4 linked regions of the Oryctolagus cuniculus genome follow. The protein of the gene in region 1 purifies or fractionates together with the protein of each later gene. This does not show direct contact. Links are inferred from orthologs where the notes say so. Each region holds a gene or a part of one and is shown on either strand. Other genes may lie near its edges.

Region 1 (2,497 bases):
CTAAATATTTCATAGCTTCCTCCCATTCTGCCTCCCCTCTTAAGTTGTACCCCAAAGGTAAGACTTTTTTGTCTGATGACATTAAACACATGTGTTTCTTGCACAACGAGAATTTTGCATGAACTTTAAACCAGAGGTTAATTTCTCAAAATAAAGTTTTTCCTAACAGGAACTTATAGAAAGACTAAATAATCACCATAAGACTTGATAAGAATCCAACAAAATCACTTGTTGCACAAACCAGTACACTTGTGGGTAGTGAACATAAAGGAACAGACAAATAACCATACAAGCCCTATTATAATGTTTCAAAGGACTTAAAGAATAAATGATGTAAGGTCTAGAGTACTGTTCAAAGTTCCTGGGATTTTAATTCTGTATGATACTAAAAATAAACACATATTGTACTGGGTATCTTGGCATCTAATCTCACTATACTTTTTATATATTGTTTTTTGGCATAGGATAATAAATAGTAAGCAAAACAGAAGTGGCAATTCTGTCAAGCTTGTGGCTTTTCAACATTCCTATGGGAGCTTCATTAGACTTATTCACTAAGATGTTGGCTAATAGATCTGAAAAATTAGATCCAGTCTCAAGTTCCACTTCCAAGGCAATAGCATCAGGCAGCTAAGTTTTATTGAATGCAACAGTTGTTTCTGTGACCACTGGAGTCTTTGAAGCGCAGCCGCATTTTAGAACGGTATTTCTCCAAATACAAAAGTTGTTTGCTGTTAAAAGCTCCACGCCGCTTTTGTCTAATAAACTGCACTGCATCTTCATTTTTCATTCCACTTTCAATTAACGCTAAGGCAACAAGCACTGGGGTTCTCCCAAGACCCGCAACACAGTGGACAGCAATACAACAACCAGGTTCTTCACGGAATTTAATGTTTACAAGACTTAACCAGTCATCAACAATCTGATTGGAAGGAGATGATCCATCATCAAAAGGCCAATCCAGAACCTGGATACCTTCTTTCTCCATGAGGGCGGTGTCGTAAGTTGCTTCACACACTCTCACTATTGTGGTAACTCCGTATTTCTTAAGTTCCTCTATAAACCTGTTTAAGGTTGCAGTGGTTGGGTTGTGTGTAATAAGGAATCTCATGTTCCTGTATGTGACTTCCACAGGAGCCGGGCGGTTCATCGGAGCCATGTTAATTTCGTTTAAAACCACTCAATACGGTCACGAAAAAATTAAAAGCTTTTGAATACAGAAATGATGTCAAGAAACTGAAGTCCACCTCAATACACTCCACTTGAAATTCTCAGCACTTCAGATAGGCAGGTGACAGAAAATGAGATGAATTTCCTGAGAAGCAGCAGCTGTTCTTCGACTCACTAATAATGCCGAGTCGGTGGAAAGCAAGTGCACAGAGGTTTACCCCATTCGGGTCAGAACTCTTGTAAAATGTTCCAATGCTTTCAATTCAACACGTCTGTGTCCAGGTTATTCTCTCTGATGGGGACGTCCTGCTGGAGTAGAGTGACTTTCTCAAGTTCACTTGTCCTCATAAAGGCCGTGCTGTGCCTGGCAGTAATCTCCAGGGCCCTTCAGAAACTCCATAAATGCGTGACCAAAAACCCCACAGAAAGGAATATGTTTACTCATGAAAGATTGTGGCCTACTCATACAGCCAGGCCCGTGGCGGCGACACACGCGGCGGCAGCGGCAAGTCCAGGAGCGGGAGTGGCCGTCACAGGGCGGCGGCAGCGGCGAGACACGAGGCTCCACCGTGGCCAAGCAGCTCGGGCACAGCCTGGCGGGAGCCAATACGCGCGCCAAGGCGCCATTGCGTCACAAGCGCTCCTTTAATAGCCGGCGCGGCGTAGGCACTGCGCCCTCACCAACCGCAGCGGCAGGGCCGCCTGAGAGCCAATGAGCGCGGGCGTGAGGCCCTCCCCGGGGCGATGGTTGCCATGGGTGCCGCTGGTGTGAACTCAAGGCCAAAGGGAGAGGCCATGGAGCCTCAGTCACCGCCTGCCTCTGAGGAGCAGAGACGGCTGAGGAGGGGTACGCGGATGGGGATGGTGGAGGAGGAAGCCTCCAAGAGGCTGAAGGGAACATGGGGGTAGACGGAGACCAGCATAGGGGAAGGAAGGTTCTAGAAGATTCCAAAGCATTGACCCCGACTAGCCTATTGACCCTGCACTTTTACCCATCTCTTTCATGTTTCATAAACAGCACAGTAGCTTTTTTTTTTTCCTGACAACCTTTGTCTTTTAACTTTAAAACTGCGTGCATGATGTTTTGGCCCCTTATTTTTGCTATTTGATTCATATTTCCTTATTTTGTGCTATTTGACTCCTATATCCATACTTTAGGAATCTTTTTACATTTCTTTTGGAGTTAAGTTCCCAACCCCCCATATATTCATGTTTTCCCCTTCCTGTTTTGGAAGTTGTAATTGTGACTGACACCTTTTTTTTTTAGCACTTACTTTAGGTGAGGCACTGTTCTACATTTAAATAGCTTTACTTAAATTTTACAACT
Region 2 (2,767 bases), on another chromosome or scaffold:
CCTAGTCTGCACAGAGCTGCCTGGGGACCCCGCCGGCAGCTAACAGGCCGGGAAAGGAAAGCAAAAGGAAAAAGGAAAGAAAAGATATTTACCTTGGGTGTTTTCTTAAAACAAAAAAATGCTCACTAGTCCACAGTCATTTATCAACTGCAGTTTCCAAATGTGCCAAAGAGGGAAATGTCTACTGGGAAGGCTGAAGAGAGCAGAGGGGAAGAAAGAGGAGACAGCAGTTGAGCCCCAACAGTGAAGCCTCTCGCCCAGGGCAGCGCCACGGGCCGCCAGGTGCTGGCGTGCAGGACCGCAGGGAAGCCAGGTGCCTGAGGTGGCTGACAGGGAGGATTTACTCAGAACCTGAAATGGGGGGCCCAGGAAACGTCTTCGGTAAAGCACTGCATTTCTAGATGCTGCAGGTCTGTTACAACTCCGCACCAGTCTGCCGCCCCTGCTGCAGACAATTTAAAGTTCGAGAGCCCAAGTCTCCAAAGACTGGTTCTCACCTGCCCTGAGTGGGGCCCCAGGGAAGTCGCCACCTGCGCAGCGACACTAGGCTCTTCTGGGGAGGGAGGTGCCCAGTGCTCAGGGACAACCCCAGGAAGAAGAGAGCAGAAAGACAGGCAGGCCTCACTGGGGGCAAATGTCAGACTGCACGTAGGTGACAGTCACCAACATAAAGTCTACAAAACAGCGGAGGATCTGTTAGAGAGCAGACGCCCCACAGAGCTGCTCTAAGTGACTCACAGGACTGCCCGACGAGCAGCTGGGGCACAGAGGGTTTGGAGGTTCTGAGATGTTTGATCAAGGAGGCAGAGAGGGCGCGCGGCCACTCCTGGACCAGGTGTGCACCTTGGGCAGAGGGACTCAGCGTGGGGAAAACCAGAACCAAAGGCTCACATTTAGCAAGGCAAAACCTCTCGGCTTTTGGGATCTAAGGCTAACACGACGGCGTGAGCTTCCACACGGGGGACACCCCATCACAGGGAGTAAAGGCAGGACCCCGTCAGCCCGGGAAGGCGCAGCGCCCCAGAAAGGCTGCCTTCCTCCAGAGGCCCTGAGGAACAAGGCCTCACGTGCAGTCAGAGCTGCAGCCCCGGGGCTGAGCCATCACCCCGGCACGGGGAAGGCCTCCTGCCCATCACTCCTGCACGCCACCTCCCAACTCAGAAAGGACCCTTCTGGTAGAAGCGTGTGGTCGGATTCTCAGGCGCAGGCCCAGGTGAGCAGGTCTGCTCTCTGAGGGGCTCTCCAGGCACCTGCACCCTGACTCGTGCTCCTCACCTGTAGAATGGACGTGCCCACCACCACCTGAGACCGGGGACGTAAGACCAGCGAGGCACGCACCCCACAGGGCTCGTCTTCCTCACTGGCTGCGGGGTCGGGGGAGGAAGTAGGGTACCCGGCCCGGCGCATCCTGACACAACTGTCTTACAGGATAAGAACCGGAAGGCTCCCCTTTTACTCCTCCAACCCACAGCCCACATGACAGAGCCCTCCTTCCACTGTGGGGCTGGCTATCCCATGCCCTCTCACAGTGTGGGCCGGGTCTTCCTGCCCACCACGGAGCCCCCGGCAGGACAGCGCCTGTCCTGCCCCCTCCTCAGCAGGGGCCCTTCTCGTTTCTGATGTGCCCGCAGCCCTCCACCTTTGAGCCGGGCCCTTGGTGACCAGATTCTCCTCGCCCAAGTGACCTAACCCTAACCCTGAACGGCCAGAACAGCCTGCATGTGATCTTATTCCCATTCACCAACTGTTCCCCAGTTAGGAGAACCCATCCTGAAAGGCCTTCAAGGGAACACGGGGACTTCATGTTTTACTTCAAATGCCAACTGGTCTACTGCTCAGTGTCGTCCAACACAAGGGACAGGGCTGGGGAGAAAAACAGAAAAAGCAGGGCAGAGAGCGCGCACGTGTGTGTGTGTGTGTGTGTGTGTGTCAGCTGCCAGGACTGCCGGCGCACAGCCCCCTGGGTACTCAGACCACAGGACGTGCCCCCGAGGCTTACCGGCTGCAGCAGTCTTCTCAACGAGGAGCCTGGTCTGGCTGCCTGGCACGACCTGGAGGTTGGCACTCTCAGGGGACGGTGGCAGGCTCTGGGCTCGGGTAGCCAGGAGTGCATTGAGGTACTGTAGCCGTGTAACCTGGAGCACAGAACACATCACCCAGCTGATGCAATTTGTAAATCAAGATGAGGAGGTACAAGGGGTCGCACACAAAGCACCTGACCTAGAGGGGAGAATCACACCGGGAGGGAAAGGATACGAGCTGAGAACAGCAGAGAAGGGCGGTCAGGCAGAACGTGTCAGGCCTCAGAGGGAGGCAGGGGCCGAGGCCTGGACCACAGCAGTCTAGGGGTCTCCTGCAGGCCGAGCACAGGGCCTTGGGCAGTCTGGGACAGAATCGGTTTGCTTTCAACCCATACAAACTTGTCACCAGTCGGTCTAGCCTCACAGAGACAACAGAGCTGGGGTGGGCATTTGGCCTAGTGGTTACTGAGACTGCCTGGATTCAAATTCTAACTTCGCTCCCAATTCCCACTTCCTACGAATGTGCACCTTGGGAGGCAACAGGACACGGCTCAAGTAACTGAGTCCCTGCCCGTCATACCAGAGACCAGGACTGAGTTCCCAGCTCTTGGCTTCCACCTGGCTGCTGCAGGCATTTGGGGAGCAAACCAGTGGACTGAGAACTCTGTGTCTCTCAAGTAAAGAAATAAAACCAGCACCAACGAGCAGCCCGGGCGGTCACCTTAATGAGCTGCAGGTCAGACAGG
Region 3 (3,465 bases), on another chromosome or scaffold:
CTGCTAACGGAAGAGGCCCTCTAGCTTCTCCAGGGTTTCAAGGGAAGAAAGCTTGATTGCAGTGTGGTTGGGTTCGGGGGTAGGCTTTGGATGTGTTCCCTAAAGGTTCGTGTGGTGGAAGCCTGGTCCCCAGCGTAAGAGGTGGCAGATCTCTAAGATCTGGGGTGTCAGGGGAAGGTGGGTCAAGGGGCACCACCCTCAAAAGGGATCAATGTGGCTCTCACAGGGCTGGGCTCCTTCTCGTGAGAGCAGGTGGTAGTGAAGTGAGGTCACCCCACGTGCTTGGCCCCTCTGCACTTGGCCATTTCCATTCCCGCATCTCTGCCGTGTTGTGTCACAGCCAGTTGCCAGTGCCACACTGTTTGGACCCTCCAGCCAAATAAACCCCTGCTCTTTGTAGAGTACCCAGCCCCAGGTATTTTGTTGTAGCAACACAGAACAGACTAAGACAAGCTCCACTGAGTACACCCTAAGGGCCTGCAGCCAATAACAATGAGCCGTAGGAACCGGTGGCGGCCCCTCATCGTCCCTCATCTGCCGAGCTGGGTCTCAAGCCTCAAAGGTCAAGGGTTCCGAGGCACCTGAGCAGGGCTGCCTCTGAGCTGGGCTGCCTCTGAGCTGGGCGGTCCAGGGAGGGCCCTGCCCTGCTCCTGAGCTTCTGCCTGCTTCTCCCCAGATCACACGGCAGCAGTACCAGAATGCACTCACCGCCTGCCACCTGGACAGCTCACCCCAGTCCCCCGACATGGGCGCCTTCACTGACGGGGACTCCAGCAAGGCCCCCACGACCCGGGGCACGCCTCAGACCCCCAAGGATGACCCTGCTGCCGTCTCACTCCTCAACCACAGGAGCAGCCTCCCGTGTAAGTCAGTGGGCGGATGGCCGAGCCTCCTTCCCATCTCGTGCCTCACAGAGCCCCAGGCCCCCTTCCGAGCGGAGCCTGAGGCGTCCACTGTCCTCCACAGGCAGCCGCTCGGACGGGCTGAGAAGCCCCGGCGAGGTGGTGTACCTGAGGATGGAGGAGCTGGCTCTCACCCAGGAGGAGACAACCGACTTGGAGGAGCAGAGCACACAGCAGCTCTCGCTGTCTCCCGCAGCAGGTCCCACAGGAGCAGGTCAGGACGGAGTCTGGGCTCAGACGAGTATCATCTTGGGCAAGGAGATGGCACACGGCAAGCTGGGTGAGAGGAGCCCTGGGACCCCAGCCCTGGAGTACACCCTCCCACCTCCTTACATAGCCACGGGAGAGACACGCCCACCAAGCACCTGCTATGGATTGGGCCCTGTCTCGTTCATTCTCCCAGGACAGCTGTGGTAGGCAGTGTTAGGAGCTTGGACTCTGCCTGGATCCAGCCCCCAACTCCTTCATGTAGGAGCTGTGCGATTTTAGACAAGTTACTTAAGACAAGTTGCTTATCTTCATTGATGATCCTCCTACATGAATAGCTATAAATGATGGTAGCTCTCTTGGGAAGTGGTGTTGAGTATAAACGGGACAGTATACTTTAAGGGCACACATATCACCATGTGTGGAGCATCTACAGTAGGTAGTTATTATTCGACTCGCCTTACAGACTAGGAAACTGGAGTCAGCCATCACTCTTTTTTTTTTTTTCTTAGAAAAAGAGAGGCAGAAACAGAGATCTTCCATCTGCTGGTTTTCTCCCCAGATAGCCACAATGGCTGGAGTTGGTCGATCCAAAGCCAAGAGCTTCTTCTGGGTCTCCCATGTGGGTTCAGAGGCCCAAGCACTTGGCCATCTTCCACTGCTTTTCCAGGCACATTAGCAAGGAGCTGAATCAGATGTGGAGCAGCCGGGTCTCAAGCTGGTGCAGACGGTAGTTTAACCCCTTATGCCAGAGTGCCGGCTCAGTCATCACTCTAACCAGCAGCACCCCTTCCTTTGGGCCCAGAGACCCAAGGTTGTCTGGGAGTTTTTCCTGAGGTCCTAGATTGCATTGCCTCCGAGACATTGAACGCTTTTGCCCTGATGGTGCGGTTGCTCCAGCAATCCCGACATCTTTCTGTGCTCACTAAGTACACACCCCAAACTCTCAGGAGGCCCCTACACCCACCTTCAGGCCACCTGTTCCCCTACCGGACCTCTCAGACCTACCCTAATCCAGAGTGTAAGAGCCCTCAGACCCAGAGAAATGCCTTGAAGAGAACTTACGAGGCCAGCAGACGACACTCTTGGACTCCTGGCTAACCCAGAAAATCCTGGAGGGTCACCGTTCCAGGATACAAGTTTAAAACCAGTGACCCTTCTCTCCCACACACACCGAATCCATCGCCAAAGCACAAGGGAAGAAAATGTGGCAAAGGCGTCAGAATGGAGGCGTGGGGTGGGGTAGTCTTTGAAATCACCCAGTCCTCCCTCCGCATGGGACACCTGAGGACCCTGGAGGCCTAGACAAGGGAAACGTTTGCTCAAGTCCAAACCTGTGCTTGAAGCAGCCTCAGTCTCTGGGTTTCGGTGCAGTGCCGTCTCCGGCTCGTCACCTGCCTGCCTGGTTGGCCCTAAGCCATGACCTCCTCCTGGTTCTCTTGGAATCCCCTTCTGAGGGTGCTTGAAGGTTGTTGAGCCTACAGTTTGCCAGGGCTGTGTGAGCAGAGGAGGGAGACAGCCCTACCTTTCCCCAGATGCCCTTTGGGTGGAGAATATACCGTGCCCTTCCTCCTTTGCCAAATGGTGCTTGGGGGTGAGGGCATTATCCCTCCCTTTGCATGGACTTCTGCCTTCCCTTCCTTTTATGGCACCAAAATGCCTGTTGCCAGCACCCTCTGGGCCTTCCCTCCATTGCCACGCCACCCTGCGCAGGCTCCTGTACAGGATGTCACGCAGAATCACCTTGCCTTGATCCCTGGGCATGGAGGTCGAAAAAACTTGAGTTCTCTCTTCCTTCCTCTCTCAGCGTCAGACAATGAATGTTGTAACATCCACCTGGACACGGAGACCAGCCCTTGCAGTAGCGACTTCGAAGAAACCATGGGCAAGAAGCTGCTGCGAACCTTGAGTGAGTAACGCTTCCCCCAGCCTCGGGCCACCCCCAGCCCCACCCGCGCGTTAGCAAGAAAAGCACATTAGGCTCTTGCTCCTGGAGGAGGCAACTTTGGCTTCTTTTGGGAGCTTTGTTGAGGCACAGTGCGCCCGGGCTTGGGCTGAGACCGCACCCTTGATAGTGGATCTGCCATACCTGCTGTGGTCTCTGGGCTAGGAGCTCATGGCCTGTGCCTGTAGGTCAAACCCCAACATCTCTCCTCCACTTGTTTTCGCCAGTAAACACTCACTAGACCATAGAGACCAGTTTGTTTTCCGCAGCCACAATGGCAGAGTCGAGTACTTGTGAGACCGTTTGGCCCACAGAACCTGTAACATTTACTATCCAGTCCTTTAAAGAAGGGCTTTGTGGCCAGGAGACTCACCGCACAGGAAAGCAGTCCCCTCGGCAGGTGACGGCCAA
Region 4 (3,500 bases), on another chromosome or scaffold:
CCTTAACCAAAGGCAGTGGCTAAGCCCCTGGAAAAGCTAAGACCATCTGTAACCCACCCTGCTAAACAGGCCCTGGCCTGGCTCCCAACTATGGGCGCTCTGGGTGCCCCAGTCCTCACCTCCGCCTGCTGTCACGGGCAGCAGGGGCACTGAGGCCGCCTGGCCCTGCCAGTCCATCCTGGTCTCCTTACACTTCTCTCACAGCGGGCCACGAGCGCTTCTGACTTCATGTAATAGCTACCTAAAGGCCTGTGACTTTCTGAGGCTCCCTGATGTGTCCTTTCCTACCCATAGTCCACCCCCCTGCCCTCCACGGCGGGTCTCCTCACCCTCTCAGGATACCCGCCTTGGTTGCCCAGGCCTTCGCTAAGAATTCCCTTCTCGTCTCTGTGACTTGGGCCTCTGGACCCCGTTGAAAGGGGCAAGTCACCCTGCTCTTCCAGGCCACCTCCTCTAGGCCCTGGCAGCCTGGCCCTCACCAATACACACACCACCGCCTCTCCACCCTCACTCCCACACCTTAAACCACCTCAGTTCTGGGATGCAGGAGAAAGGTGCAGGCCCAGCCCTATAACTCACCAGGGGGGACCGAGGTCAAGGCCATGGTCCCATAGTAGGAGAAGGCACCCGTCTCAAACTTCATGTTCTCCTTCCCTGCCTCCACCTCCACCTTCCCCTGGAAGAACACAAGGTCAGGGTTACAGGGAAGAAAAACAAGGCGGAGACAGGTGTGGCAGTGAGGCGCGGGAGTGGCGCAGCCAGCCGCAGGAGGCAGGGGTGGCCCAGAGTCCTGGCGTGCTCAGGGCTCTGCCCTGCAGGTGCAAGGCGGCCCCGGGGGAGAGGACGAGCACTGTGGGGCGAGCAGAGGCTGCGGGGCAGCAGAAGCTGGGGTGGGGAGTGGCCCGAGGAGGAGGCGCGCACCTGCAGGATGAGGATGAAGTAGTCGGCGGGCTTATTTCGGGTGTACAGGTAGTGGCGGACGTAGTACTTGTTGTGCTCATCGAACTTGAGCTCCTGTATGACGTCTGGGTACTTGAGCAGCCGCAGCAGGATCTTCTCCGATATGAGAGAGGGGCTGAACTGGGGGACCTCTGGAGGAGGAGAGAGGGGGGATTCACGCGGGGCCAGGCCAGCAGCCCGGGGGCTCGGTCACTGCAGCGGCAGCCCTGAGCTGAGCTGGTGCCCACTGGCTCAGGCACTCCCTCACTTCTGCTCCTGGCTGCTGACTGCTTAGACCCAAGTCTTCCGTCTGCCGGCGCTGGCCGGGATGGTGGCCCTGGTCCCAACAGCACATGACCTTGGGCTAACTATCTAACCTGTGCCTCAGTTTCCACATACATCAACTGGGGATAAAACCTCATTGGGTGGTTTGCGAGGTCAAATGGGATAACACAAATAAAGCACTTAGACACACTCCTGGCACGTGGGAAGTGCTTAATCAGTGTCCCTAGAATTACCAGGATCATCACTATGGGGACAGGCACTCGGTACAGAGGGCTAAGAAGCTGCCGGGAATGCTGGCATCCCATATCAGAGTGCAGGTTTAGAGTGCTGGCTGCTCCGTTTCTGATCCAGCTCCTTGCTTAATAAACGGCCCAAGTGCTTGGTCCCTACCACTCATGTGGGAGACTCAGATGGAGTTTCAGGCTCCTGGTTTCAGCTTGGACCAGCCCTAGCCATTGAAGCCATCTGGGAAGTGAACCAGCAGATGAAAGATCTTTCTCTGTCACTCTGCGTTTTGAGTAAAAAAAAAAAAGGGGGGGGTGGGAGGTGGGTAGAGTGGCACTGTGGCATAGTAGGCTAAGCCTCTGCCTGCAGTGCCGGCATCCCATATGGGCACTGGCCCCTGTCTTGGCTGCTCCTCTTCCGATGCAGCTCTCTGCTATGGCCTGGGAAAGCAGAGGAAGACGGCCCAAATGCTTAGGCCCCTGCACCCAAGTGGGAGACCTGTAAGAAGCTCCTGGCTCCTGGCTTCAGATTGGCCAAGTTCCAGCCATTGCAGCCATTTTGGGGAGTGAACCAGCAGATAGAAGACCTTTCTCTCTGTCTCTGTCTCTGCCTCTCTCTCTGTAACTCTGCCTCTCAAATAAATAAATTAAAAAGGAAAAACAGTAATATTTAAAAAAATTTACTATTGTTATCAACATTAATATTGTAGTAGCAAACATAAAGGAAAAAGAATGATCACACTGCTACCAACTGAGGGCTGGGAAGGAGGGTGGGTTGTGCAGAAGGGATGGAGGAGGCTGGTATTTCTCCAATCTGTCACCTAGGTCCTGGCGACTGAACCAGGGGTGAGAAAACAGAAATGTCACTGGTCTCGAGGTCAGTTCCTGCAGGGCCCAGCACACACAGGCAGGGGGCAGGCAGGAGACTGAGACCAGGGTGGAGCACAGGCTCTTCGGGCGCATGGGCAGGCAAGGGGCGAGTTCCAGCAAGTGGAGGGCCCCCTTCTCCTTACTGATCTCCGAGGTGCCCTCTCAAGGACTTCAGGCTTATTGCAAAAGTAACTCTGGGGTGGGGGGTGGGGGGGGTGGGGGGGGATGCGCGCACTGTGGTGCAGTGCGTTAATGCCCTGGCCTGAAGTGTCGGCATCCCATATGGGCGCTGGTTTGAGTCCCGGCTGCTCCTCTTCTGATCCAGCTCTCTGCTATGGCCTGGGAAAGCAGTACAATATAGCCCAAGTGCTTGGCCCCTGCACCCACATGGGAGACCTGGAGGAAGCTCCTGGCTCCTGGCTTCGGATCGGCACAGCTCTGGCCGTTGCAGCCAATCGGGGAGTGAACCAGCGGATGGAAGACCTCACTCTCTCTCTCTCTCTCTCTCTCTCTTTCTCTGTGTAACTCTGACTTTCAAATAAGAAAAATAAATCTTTAAAAAAAAAGAAAAAGTAACTCTGGGGGTAGGCGTTTGGCACAGCAGTTAAGTCCCAGCTTGGGACACCCACATCCCATACTGGAGTGCCTGGTTCGAGTCCAGCCTCCTCCTAATACACACCCTGCAAGTACCTGGGTGCCTACCATCCGTGTCAGATACCCAGATGGAGTTCTGGGCTCCTCACTTCAGCCTGGTCCAGCCCTTGCAGTTAAAGAACCAGTGGTTGGAAGGTCTCTGTCTCTCTCTTTGCCGCTGTCTCTCTTTGCTTTTTTTAGTTTCGTTTTTTTAATTTTAAGATTTATTTATTTACTTGAAAAGCAGTTACAAAGAGAAAGAAGTCTTCCATCTTCGGGTTCACTCCCCAAATTGCTACCATGGCCAGGGCTGGGAACTCCACCCAGGTCTCCCACATGGCTGGCAGGGGGCCAAGCACTTGGGCCATCCTCCATTGCTTTCCCAGGTGCATCAGCAGGGAGCTGGATGGGAAGTGAAGCAGCCGGGACTCTGACACTCACATGGGATGCCAGTATTGCAGGCAGGAACTTAACACACTGCATCACAACACCAGCCCCTCTCTCTCTTTTTTTTTTTTTTTTTTTTTTTTTTTTTTTTTTTTTTTGACA

What was found. Proteins that work in one complex are often made in the same cells at the same time.
Region 2: the proteins of protein tyrosine phosphatase type IVA 1 (region 1) and CNNM3 purify together in Homo sapiens (affinity purification with mass spectrometry; 6 studies listed by BioGRID and IntAct, with this or other methods). This does not show direct contact. The link is inferred for Oryctolagus cuniculus from reciprocal best matches to the Homo sapiens genes PTP4A1 and CNNM3.
Region 3: the proteins of protein tyrosine phosphatase type IVA 1 (region 1) and CNNM1 purify together in Homo sapiens (affinity purification with mass spectrometry; 4 studies listed by BioGRID and IntAct, with this or other methods). This does not show direct contact. The link is inferred for Oryctolagus cuniculus from reciprocal best matches to the Homo sapiens genes PTP4A1 and CNNM1.
Region 4: the proteins of protein tyrosine phosphatase type IVA 1 (region 1) and CNNM4 purify together in Homo sapiens (affinity purification with mass spectrometry; 6 studies listed by BioGRID and IntAct, with this or other methods). This does not show direct contact. The link is inferred for Oryctolagus cuniculus from reciprocal best matches to the Homo sapiens genes PTP4A1 and CNNM4.

The regions. Positions count from the first base shown.
Region 1 is NC_091432.1:77,597,695-77,600,191, reverse strand, and holds protein tyrosine phosphatase type IVA 1, read right to left. Parts: upstream 1,304-2,497; 5' UTR 1,160-1,303; coding exon 638-1,159; 3' UTR 501-637; downstream 1-500. UniProt on the Homo sapiens protein: Protein tyrosine phosphatase which stimulates progression from G1 into S phase during mitosis. May play a role in the development and maintenance of differentiating epithelial tissues.
Region 2 is NC_091433.1:110,896,345-110,899,111, forward strand, and holds part of CNNM3 (metal transporter CNNM3), read right to left. Parts: coding exon 2,743-2,767; intron 2,136-2,742; coding exon 2,000-2,135; intron 1,864-1,999; coding exon of another isoform or gene 1,829-1,863; exon of another isoform or gene 1,697-1,828; intron 194-1,696; exon of another isoform or gene 93-193; intron 1-92. UniProt on the Homo sapiens protein: Probable metal transporter.
Region 3 is NC_091446.1:30,666,973-30,670,437, reverse strand, and holds part of CNNM1 (metal transporter CNNM1), read left to right. Parts: intron 1-676; coding exon 677-863; intron 864-966; coding exon 967-1,182; intron 1,183-2,916; coding exon 2,917-3,018; intron 3,019-3,465. UniProt on the Homo sapiens protein: Probable metal transporter.
Region 4 is NC_091433.1:110,921,697-110,925,196, forward strand, and holds part of CNNM4 (metal transporter CNNM4), read right to left. Parts: intron 1,092-3,500; coding exon 922-1,091; intron 677-921; coding exon 580-676; intron 1-579. UniProt on the Homo sapiens protein: Probable metal transporter. The interaction with the metal ion chaperone COX11 suggests that it may play a role in sensory neuron functions. May play a role in biomineralization and retinal function.